3 linked regions of the Bombyx mori genome follow. The protein of the gene in region 1 purifies or fractionates together with the protein of each later gene. This does not show direct contact. Links are inferred from orthologs where the notes say so. Each region holds a gene or a part of one and is shown in the gene's direction. Other genes may lie near its edges. The genes, in order: metastasis-associated protein MTA3, histone deacetylase HDAC1 and chromodomain-helicase-DNA-binding protein Mi-2 homolog.

The links.
Region 2: the proteins of metastasis-associated protein MTA3 (region 1) and histone deacetylase HDAC1 fractionate together in Drosophila melanogaster (co-fractionation; 3 studies listed by BioGRID, with this or other methods). This does not show direct contact. The link is inferred for Bombyx mori from reciprocal best matches to the Drosophila melanogaster genes MTA1-like and HDAC1.
Region 3: the proteins of metastasis-associated protein MTA3 (region 1) and chromodomain-helicase-DNA-binding protein Mi-2 homolog fractionate together in Drosophila melanogaster (co-fractionation; 3 studies listed by BioGRID, with this or other methods). This does not show direct contact. The link is inferred for Bombyx mori from reciprocal best matches to the Drosophila melanogaster genes MTA1-like and Mi-2.

The regions. Positions count from the first base shown.
Region 1 is NC_085131.1:3,800,367-3,804,807, forward strand, and holds the start of metastasis-associated protein MTA3, read left to right. Parts: upstream 1-1,493; 5' UTR 1,494-1,894; coding exon 1,895-1,922; intron 1,923-4,441. Other genes in the region: protein transport protein Sec23A, read right to left, coding at 254-509, 604-882.
Region 2 is NC_085117.1:13,611,261-13,615,528, reverse strand, and holds the start of histone deacetylase HDAC1, read left to right. Parts: upstream 1-1,435; 5' UTR 1,436-1,650; coding exon 1,651-1,699; intron 1,700-2,066; coding exon 2,067-2,179; intron 2,180-2,254; coding exon 2,255-2,372; intron 2,373-3,166; coding exon 3,167-3,267; intron 3,268-3,992; coding exon 3,993-4,236; intron 4,237-4,268. UniProt on the Drosophila melanogaster protein: Catalyzes the deacetylation of lysine residues on the N-terminal part of the core histones (H2A, H2B, H3 and H4).
Region 3 is NC_085116.1:13,694,275-13,697,121, reverse strand, and holds the end of chromodomain-helicase-DNA-binding protein Mi-2 homolog, read left to right. Parts: intron 1-718; coding exon 719-864; intron 865-1,750; coding exon 1,751-1,759; 3' UTR 1,760-1,804; intron 1,805-1,951; 3' UTR 1,952-2,212; downstream 2,213-2,847. UniProt on the Drosophila melanogaster protein: ATP-dependent chromatin-remodeling factor which acts in nucleosome-remodeling by catalyzing ATP-dependent nucleosome mobilization. Involved in regulating transcription. Plays a vital role in development.

The DNA.
Region 1 (4,441 bases):
TGCAATTATAAAGATTTTATCAACTTTTTTCATTTAAATGCTCCTCCTGTAAAGCTACAAATTTGGAGTTAGCGTAGTGTTCATTGGAGGAAAGAAACTTTATTTAATAATATTTATTTAATGGTTAATCATGTTAATTTGATACTTCTCTCAGTCTGCAGGAAGCTTTTGTTCTAATTTTTTCTGTGACTACATATTATATTTTAGATAGAGATATAAACAAAGAAAATAACATCTTAAGCATATTGCTTACCTAATTCATGAATCTGTACCATTTTACCAAATGTTATTAGTCCAACGAGTGCATTTTGAGGCATTAAACTAAGTGAAGTCTGCAAGGAATCTTTGAGTGCCCCAAGTTCTTCCTCATCTAAACAAGTATCAACAACAAGCAGGTAGATTGGGGGCATAGCCTGTGCTCGCGTTATTGTGTACTCTATGGTGGAAAAGTTAGGAATCAGTTCTGCAGGTTGATGCTGTTCTGATATAGCAGCATATTGAGGTGGAAACTGAAATTAAAATATATTGATTACTCTATAAGTACTTTAAAAGAAAAAAACATTAGACTAATTGAGTTAGTGGCGAATTTCTTCAAGTACTCACTGGGTTTCGTTGGAAGCAAAAGTTGCAGACCCATAATTTAGCTCTGTAATCCACCTGGCACATTGGGTTCAATATAGCTCTGCATGTATTTCGTGTACAGAGTACAGGCTCGTACTGTATCGGTGGTAGGTCGGGGCGCTCCTTAAGCGGTTGGTACAAGCAAGCCAAAGGCACAACAAGCCTCGTAGCCTCAATTCTACTTGATGGCCATACGTTCCAAGTGAACCGTATGCCATCGCGGTCTTCATTCTGCTGGATGAACTCCTCGTATGTGGCCATATCGCCGATCTATACGAAAAAGATACATTACAAAAACATCATAAATGCACACAGACTCTGGTAACTTTAGAAGCACTATTAACCAAATGTACGTACCAAAAAGTCATGCGGCGAACCAGTTATAAACACATGAGCAAATTTCTTAAATCACAATATGTCTTCATTCAAAAATCCCATAAATTTCTCAATTTTTTAGAAACCAAGCAGACTGGAGAGGCTGGCTGATTTGGCAGTTGTCAACACCATAGACAAATCAGCTGTCATACTGGCCACGTCACATTTTTACACGCCATCCATCACAACATATAAAAATAATTTAAAATTTTACTATCAAACGAACCACAAATTAATAAATCTTTAAATATATAAATAACATTTTTAAATAAAAATACTTTTAAGGGAGAAAAAAAATAAAAATTTTTGGTTTTCTTTATGGTTCTCTGACGTTCCTTTCCACATTCCAAATTCGAATTAAAATTAATTTTAGATATAAAACACAATTTATTATATTCAGTCTTCAATATACAAATAAATATTATGTTAAAATTTATTTAATTAAAGAAACTTTCTTACTTCTTGTTGAAAAAAAAATTACAGTAAATATTTAATATAATTAAAATCTTGTCAACACTGTTCCCGTTAAAAGAACGAAACGTGGTTGAATGAATTATTTTTTTTATTTTAGGACATCGTAAAATAAATTTTCAATGGACGATATTATTTTCAAACAATACTTTTTATAATTCAAAATAATAATCATTTGGATTTTATTTGTGGACACAAAATTAATGACATGTCATTGCTTTGTTTCAAAAGCAGGAAGTTTACGCCAAAAAGTGCGACTGCGCACTGGCCAAATTAGTAGTGTGAAAGAAAATGGCGATCAGCGAAAGGCGTCCGGAGTTAACGTGATGAAAAACATTGTTAAAAGCTCAATTACATAGTGTTATAGTTATTAATTGTGTCAGATGTAGATTAATTAAGTGTTAATGAATAGTGATTGTGTATAAAAATGGCTGCGAATATGTACAGAGTCGGCGGTGAGTAGCAATAATTGGTTATTTTTGTTGTAGCTTCGCCGGTTCACCGCCAGCCGACTAGCGGTGCTTTGCTTTGATTGTCGTACTTTCATTAATTGCTTATATTAATTAATCCAAACATATTAAACACCCAAAAAATGCCGGTTTTTATGTATCCGTGGAGGTTATCGTGTTTATAACCGTTTGATAAAGTTTGCGGAAAAGTTATATTTTACCAAAATTCGTCAAATCAAATAGGACATTAGCATTTACGTCTAGGTATCATTGTATCGGCTCGTGTATCTGCGTGCGGGCGGTTAGGCATGAAGCGTCTTTAGTTACCTAACTGAGATGATAGTTTTTTAGAATAGTTTGATGATTTTGACGTGAGATTTTAGGTTATATTCGATGTTGTCAAAACATTTTGATACGAGAGCTGGTTGTTTTTGGGTTATTTGGTATATCTTGGAAGAGTTTAGGGATGATAAGAAAGTAAACAGTAAAAGTGTGGCGTCGCTAGTCATTATAAATTATTGGTTTGTTTGTGTATGGACGGTGGTAGTCGAGGATGTCGGTTGCTGTAGGATATTGATGCCGCGAGTCGCGAGAACAACACGAGCGCCTCATGTACCGCACTCGGCGTCCGTCGCGTCGAATGTTAATTAGCCCTTCCTTTTGTATCACTTCCTATCATGTAATGTAATGCTTCTGTTAAGGTTATGTCTTTGTTTCAAAATTAGCTAATTCTTAGTAAAATAATTTTGTTAGAACCGAGATGGAATGTATTTTATTTAATAATTTCATTAAATGGGTAAATAAATATTACTCTGTGATCAACTATAAATTAGGGATTATTAAAGTTTTTAATTTTAAAATTAAATCTTGACCCGTAGTTTTACACTAACCTTAGGTCAATATAGTAAATCTTAAAATGAAATATTTTTTTCCCTCCAAAACATAAAATTAACAATTTCATTCTAATTACCTATACAACAATTATAAAATATGTTCTAAAGCCAATAAAATTTTACTTTGCTATTAAATCAAGTTAAATTGTCAGTTCAATGAATTAATGTTAATCTTTTGTTAATCTTTTAAACCTGAAAGAGCTATACACTATTTTTTATTACTCTAAAACTACTGCCAAACTGTTCTCATTATAAAAATAATAAAAACATTTTGAAAATGCTGTCAAACACAATTTTTTGCAATCAACACTAATAACATAAACAAACATGCATTTCTTTATTCTATCAAGGCCACCACAAATACTTCAGATGTACTGAAAGCAGTAGGTATGCTCCAATAAACAAAGTTTAATATTGCAAATGCAAAGGATTCAAAATTAAAAGGTATTTTATTAATCCAATGATTGATATAGACCATGATCACAGTGATTATTAAATCTATTCTGGCATAAAAGTTTAAAGGGTTTGTCAGCTGTCATTCAGTGACCCTGCAATTAATGAATTAAAACATTTCAGGGTATCTAGGAAAAGAATTATAACAATACATTGCATTCTTTCAGTTTAAATTAATAGTATTGTGTTAGCGTAGTGTTATTTTAAGTATATTTGTTTGTAATAGAATATTTTGATCTACAACAAAACGTCTCTGCTCTACTCTAGTTTGTTATTGTATCTATTTATAAATTTCTACATATTGCAATTTTAATGCAAACATGCAGATATCTAATATACATCTGCATAATACACAATATAAATTTAATTTAGGTGCTGAGTAAAGAAAATACACTAAAAACACACTGACGCAGTACAATAAGAAACCATAATAATATGATATACACATACAGATATAAATAAATTCAAAATCACTAGGATGATTATTAAAATTTCAATAATGAAAATGGAAAATAGTAGTTTTTTTCAAGTGTTTTTTTATTCAATAAAAGTATAAAATTGTCTTTATCAGTGACCTTCAGCTTTTGAAAATTGATTGAGCTCAATGACCTATGCTTAGTTTTGTCCAACTAAAATACTATTTTTTGTTATATAAGCCAACATAGTATTTTTATGCATATATAAATTTCAAAATATTTAATTCCTTTTTTACGGGAATATTACGTATTTATATAAATTAACACTAAAAGTATTTCATAAAAAAGCATTAATAAAATAAGTTAATTATCCATTTTCAAAGTGCCCATAAATATATTTAATCATACATTATTCTTCTTCTATTTTTCCTGCTTATGTCGCTAATACCTACACTAATAATATCAGTGTTATACACCTATATAATGTAATAGAATTACTGAAGTTCATTTTAAACATAATAAAAATATAACAGTTATCAAGAAAGGAACTTAAATAAAATTAAAATGTGGTGTGTGTGAAAATATGTAATTTAAAACAAATGACCTTATACTATTACATTCCTTTCTTGTCGCGAGCTTGCCAAGTTTTACGAAAATATCTCTAGCAATTTCTTAAAGTACTATATTTTTTTATTGAGTTAATAAATAAGATAGATCACCTATCTTGGGATACAAGGCTTAATGTGAGACTCCCTTAAATAAG
Region 2 (4,268 bases), on another chromosome or scaffold:
TTCGATTTTAAATAGCTACACATCCTTAAGTTGAATTGAAGAATGAAAATTTTTAAGGTACAAATTCCTGAAACCTTTGCTACAAGTTCACGTGAACTAATTTCAGTGTTACAATATTAATATGATTTCTAGTTCCTAAGTTTCTTCTACCTTCCAAGGTGAATTCTACCATTTCCTTGGACATAATTAGGAATGTACGTAAGGAGTATAAAATTACGCACTTGCCGTAAACTGCAGCTTCTTCAATCTTTCAATTCCCAAAGATACATTTTGTTACAATTTTATTTAAAACTAGCTGACCTGGCAGACTTCGTAGTACCTCAATCGATCAATGAAAGAAAAAAGAAATTCACCCGACCGGGGACACATCAAAGGAAAAACAAAATTGTTATTTTTATTTAATTCCGAGCATTTTCATATTTATCTACCTTTTAAACCTTCTCTGGTCTTCCACAAATAATTCAAGACCAAAATTAGTCAAATCGGTTCAGCCGTTCTCGAGTTTTAGCGAGACTAAGTTAGAACAACAATTCATTTTTATATATATAGATAAATGAATTGCTAAAAAAATGAATATATATATATATATAAAGATTCAGCTGTGGTAGTTTTTTAGAATATCGTATCCTTTATGTTGACCGTGTATTTCTAATAACATAAGAGGCAACGTGCGGAATTCTACGAATGGTTCTATTAAATTTTATATAAAAAATGCAGTAGGTAAGTTTTGTTGTGTATTGTGGTGACCACACACCATCAAGTAGACCGTATGGTTGTCAGCATAAGTATATTGCCAATAAATTCAATGATGATGATGATGATGATGATATGAAAATTTTCCCTCAGTATAGACTTTTCCACTTGGAACTTGAACTTGCTACCTTGAACAATATAGATAAATATACTTGAGACCTTAGAAAGGTGGGTGGCGCATTTACGTTGTAGATGTCTATGGGCTCCAGTAACCACTTAAGACCAAGTGGGTTGTGAGCTCGTCCACCCATCTAAGCAATAAAAAAAATGCTACTAACAATAAAAATCTATTAATATTACCATCTATTTTTTTCCCCTGCCTATTCCCTGGGAGCCAAATAGAGAGACACACAATTGAAATTTAATCAAAGAACCATTTTTCTAACAGAATTTTATAACCTTGTATTTTAAAAGTGTTTGCTCTTCTCTTAAAAAAATAAGATAATGAGGGATATTCCGTGCCTGAACTAGGTAAACATTTCGCGGAAGAGCCGCAGTTGAGGAGCTAAAGAGCAGCATGCGAGCCGCAAGCCGATCGCTGGCCTAAGGGGCTGTTCTAGCTGCCAAGTAATTCATGCTTATGATTGTAATGCTACTACCTACTGTGAACTGTGGCTTCACTTGATTTCTATATTTAATCTACTAAAAATCATTCAATTTAATCAATTCATTCATTCGTTCATTGAATATCTGTAACTTTTAGGTCAGTCAACTTCACTGTAATGAAATTGTCGTACTCTGAAGTTGCATTTTGTTCATCTTTCAATTATTTTATGAAGTTTTTTTGTGTGGATTGTCAAATTAAAGCACAGCGGTGTGGTTTTTATTTCTCTTTAACATTTTTAAGTATATTGTAATAATTTTATTAAAAAGTAACCGTTGAAGAAATAATTAAAAATGTCTATGCAACCGCACAGTAAGAAAAGAGTGTGTTACTATTATGACAGTAAGTAAAATAAAGTTTTACCCGCCACGGATCTCCATTACATCGCTAGTAACTTAAGAATTAGTTTTTGTATTATAAATAATTAATATGCGTAGTATTCATATTTTAAATACAAATTTCCACACGGCCTAGCTCTTTTAAGAACTTCAGAGATTTTAAAGCTTGTCTTAGGATTTTTATGACATTGTTAACTCAGTTCATTGTTTCATTTTACGACGTCTGTACAGCGTTCCGCGTTCCTATTGGGTACACGGACTTGCTCGTATTACGATGTACGAGGTACAGACGGCTAAATATGAAGCCGTAAAATGATTTAAGTAACATGTTAATAAAAAGTTGAAAATAATGCGTGTTATTTTTATTAAAGGCGATATTGGAAACTACTATTACGGACAAGGGCATCCAATGAAACCTCACCGCATACGTATGACCCACAATTTACTCCTCAACTATGGACTCTATCGAAAAATGGAGATTTATGTGAGTACTGAAATTACCTTTTAAGTGTAAGTTCTTCAATGATTTGAGATTTTATAATTATATATTTTTAAACAGAGGCCTCACAAAGCCACAGCTGATGAAATGACAAAATTCCATTCAGATGATTACATTAGATTCCTGCGTTCTATTCGACCTGACAATGTTTCTGAGTACAACAAACAAATGCAGAGATGTAAGTTATTACTAATTATTATCAATATTATTTAAAAAAAGTATTAATTATTCATAAATGCTTTAATGAAAATGTATTACCCTTGAAGACTTACCTGTTAAAGCTAATATAACAGTAGAGTTACTTATTTAGTGTGTTATTTTATATTAAACTATATTTTTTCAGTGTATAATATTATAATAGATTTGTCCCACAGTTTCAACTATGTTCAGCTTACAATAATGTGAATCTACTACAGTGGAATCTTACTATATTCATAATTTGTATAAAAAGATGATGAAAATAATAGATTGAATACAGCATATTTTGTGTAAAATTGTGGAAAATTCCTTTGATTCACTGCTATGACACTGAAAAAAATTCCTAAATTCAAATCTTTGACTATACCACAGCATCTAGTTGTGTCAGTCAATTGTCACACTGCTTGATAAGTATAGATATAACATACCAAAATTATAAAGAAAAAAAACTACTTTCCTGTATGAGCACTCTCCTTGTCTGCAGCCTGTTTAGTTGAAACCAATGTATCTGCTGTTTATTGCAGGAAGAAAACCTTTATAATGTACATATTTATTTAAAGAGTATGGTGAAAATGGTGTACAATCCTATTGGTTTTTTGTTAAAGTTCCTATAGTTCAAAGCATCAACCAAATTATTTTTGACCTATCCCTCAATCTACTGATGGGTAATATCCTATAAACTACATACCTTTATTAGTGCCTGATCACATTCAGGGATGATATGGAAAATATTCAACTTATTGAATGTGACTAATTTTAATATACATTTTGCAGTTAATGTAGGTGAAGATTGTCCTGTTTTTGATGGCCTGTATGAATTTTGTCAGTTGTCTGCTGGGGGTTCAGTTGCAGCAGCTGTAAAACTGAATAAGCAGGTAATTAGTCTTATTTTTTTATTTATTTTATTTTGTTAAAACAAGTTTTTCAGTTTAATTAGTGGCGATGAAAACTGTAATTTATTTAAAAAATCAGAAATAATATAACAGCAATTGTATACATGACATTAAACAATAAAAGTAGTTTTAATTACATCCTCTACTTACATATGCCAATGAGAAAGTATTATTTTCATTTGTTAAAATTATTATAATTTTACCTTTTTAGTGTTTTAACTTTAAAATGGTTAAAGACAGATGAGCCCCAACCTGATATTAACTGATACTGTGTCAGAGATGAATAGAACACTTAAATTGTGTTTATATTGATTTTAAAACAATAAAACAATAGATTTTTCTTATCTTGTGAGATTTCTAATTTGATTCTGCAAGTTTTCTTAATTTTATAATTATATAGTTATATAGGTTTCATTTATAGTTATTTATAACTATAAAATTAAAACATGTTTGTACTGATTTTATTATTGTTATAATTTTTTTTTTCCTTACACTATAAGTTAGATTAGTTTTCGTTATCGTGTTGTTTTGTCGTAATTGTAAGGAACGTTGATATACAAATTCAGCACTTTATAGTTTTGTCGTGCGCACATAACTTATGTTGCAAGCCAGATTTTGTTTTTTTTTTATTTGTGTTTTTTATGTATCTTTAGCTTGTGATGTGTATTGTGAGCCTAATAAAAAATAAAAAAAATAAATTGTTTTAGGCCTCAGAAATATGCATAAACTGGGGTGGTGGCCTCCATCATGCAAAGAAGTCTGAAGCGTCAGGTTTCTGTTATGTTAATGACATTGTTCTTGGCATATTGGAGTTGCTGAAATACCATCAAAGAGTACTATATATTGACATAGATGTGCATCATGGTGATGGTGTTGAAGAAGCTTTCTACACCACGGACAGAGTAATGACCGTTTCCTTTCATAAATATGGAGAATATTTTCCTGGAACAGGTGATTACATTACTTATTTCTATTTAAACTTG
Region 3 (2,847 bases), on another chromosome or scaffold:
GTGGACGAGCTCACAGCCCACCTGGTGTTAAGTAGTTACTGGAGCCCATAGAAATCTACAACGTAAATGCGCCACCCACCTTGTGATATAAGTTCTAAGGTCTCAAGTATAGTTACAACGGCTGCCCCGCCCTTTAAACCGAAACGCATTACTGCTTCACGACAGAAATAGGCAGGGTGGTGGTACCTACCCGCGCGGACTCTCAAGAGGTCCACCAATAAGTACCTTATCTCCACCTTATCCCACTAGGTGGGGTCGGCACAGCGAATTTTTTTACTCCATTCTCTTCTATCAGGCGTCATCTCAACACTCACTCCTCTCTCTCTCTCATATCGTCATTCACACACTCCAACCATGTTTTCTTCGGTCGACCTTTTCCCCTTCTACCTTGCACTACCATTTCCATACATGAATGAATCGCAAATTATGAGATTAAAATGCTTCAAAATGTTGACCGTACAATTGACATTATATAAGTAACACAGTCCTTTTTAACTTACAACGCGATAGTATTAGTAATAGAGATTGGATCGAGTTAGCTTTAAGGTTTTTTTATATATATTCTTTCTGTAATGAGAGGTTTCACATTCCATCAAATTTGTTCTCAGATATGTTCGTAACAGGTAGTCTGTCTGCGATATTCAGTTAAAGTTGCCTGTTTATGTTCGTTTTAAACAACGAAAAATAGAATGAAATAAAATTTCCAATCGTATTGCAGCCCAAATGCCGCAGTTCCCGACCGGCTTCCAGCCCGGCGGCACGCTCCCCGGGTTCGCGGCGTCGGCCGCGACGGCGGCTAATTTCTCCAACTTCCGACCGCAGTACTCCGTGCCCGGACAGCCTACATCATCCTCTAACTCGAATGTGAGTCCATGACTGACTCAACTGTGATCAGTTTATTATTTTAGTCAGTATCTATATATTGAAGTTCAATCTCACAACAAATTTAGCAAAACAATTAGGGTCCGTTCACACGGCTCGGAGAGCATCGGCCCGCTTTTTTCTTTTCACACAGACCGGATCGTATACGGTTTGGGATAGGCCGGAGCAGAGCCGCCAACTATTTCATATAGACCGGCTGGAAGAGATTGTTAAGCGGATGCGCAAGCAATCGAAGCGGATGGGTTACGCGAGCGAGAAAGAGCCGGTCGGCTCCTCTTATTATTTCACACGCAGCGCGTTCAAGCATTGCTAATGACAAAAAAAGTGCACATGCAAAAATAAACTTTATTACGATTACTCAAAACTCTGTTTCCAACGTGATAAAAATCTGCTTCATATCTTTGTGAACGGACCCTTATGGTAATAAAATGTTGAAGTTGATATCAGTATTTCTCAATCAAATTAATCGTGACAGTTTAAATAGTTTGATGAGTATATTACAATAATATCAAATAATTATACTGCAAATGACTTAACTATCATTATGATCATGATACATTAACTCGAATGAGATGTGTAATTGTAATTTCGGATTCACGTAGTGTAAAAATCACTTCTAGACGATTCGATCACTTTTCCATTTCCGTATGTTAGAATTTTAGATAATATTAAAGAAAAGTTCTCTGAAAAGATGTCACATATAAAGCTATAATTCATTAGAACAATAACCGTTTGCAATGTTTGTTTAGAAAAAATCAATCAATCAAATAAATCGGATTTTATACCTGCAAAGTGTATAATTATGCGATGATGTAATAAATTATTGTTGTTAATTTATAACATTCATAAATGGTCTGTTTTGTTTCAGAAATCATAAACTCCGTAATTTAAACAACTATATTCGATTTGACGTAACCCGCAGGTAAAACATAGAATAATAATTTAATTCTTAGGCTAGAAGTGACATGCTTGACGGCCCGTTTAGATTTTCTCGCTGGTCGATATGCACGTTGAAATAAATTATCGAGAGCTCAAACAATAACGTGATTATTGTATCATTTTGTTTTAGCGAGCGGATATGTCGCCGCGTAGGTGAATTAGATGTAAGCTTTTTTGAAGATTCCTGTTTCCACATCGGCTCCGAAGTCATAATTATATTTGTGATTAGTTCAGATAGATTACATGACGTCATAGCGAAAATAACTCATAATATTATTTATTTCATCCTGATCTGTATGAATCTTTTCTATCGTGTAAGTGAATTGTGGACTTATGAAATCTTTATTTTTAATTTACCAAAAATTGAAAACTGAATAAAACTTACAGTTAAGGAATTGTGTTTTATTTATTGTCGCTTTCACAAGAAAGTGAATTTTAAGAAAATAATGTATAATGTTTATTTGGTGGTAACGACGAAGGGAAGATATTATGCTTATCTTGAAAATATCGTTAGCGAAATTCAGGCTATCCGCCACTCGGCTAACCACAAGCACAACCGCGTCCTGCGGTCTGCCGCTCGGCTGGCTGTATTCCGGCTAACCGCAAAGTGAGTAGGCGCCCTTAGTGATCATCCTTCATTATCGCGTTTATCTTTACTGGTAAGGCATGGGTAGCAACACTAGCAGCCACTGCCTTGCCTATTCCTGACGTGAAGAAAATAACGCATTCCGGTTTGAAGTGTGGGCAACCGTTGTACTATAGGAAGTTGAAACTTAGAACTCGTGTCTCGAGATGGGTGGCAGTATTTTTTGCAGTACATTGTTGACGTCTATGGCTTCCTGTGTGTTTAGTGCGAGTTTTTTAACGTTCTCGATAGCGTAAAAGTTAACCCAAATTCGTATGCAGTTGAAACAGAGCGCCCCTAGCGGCAAGCGTTCTAACGTACGGTTACGGAGGAACTTCGGGGAGGCAACTGCTAAAGAAGGCGGCTGCCTTCGCATTAACTTCATGGTTAATGATTATTTA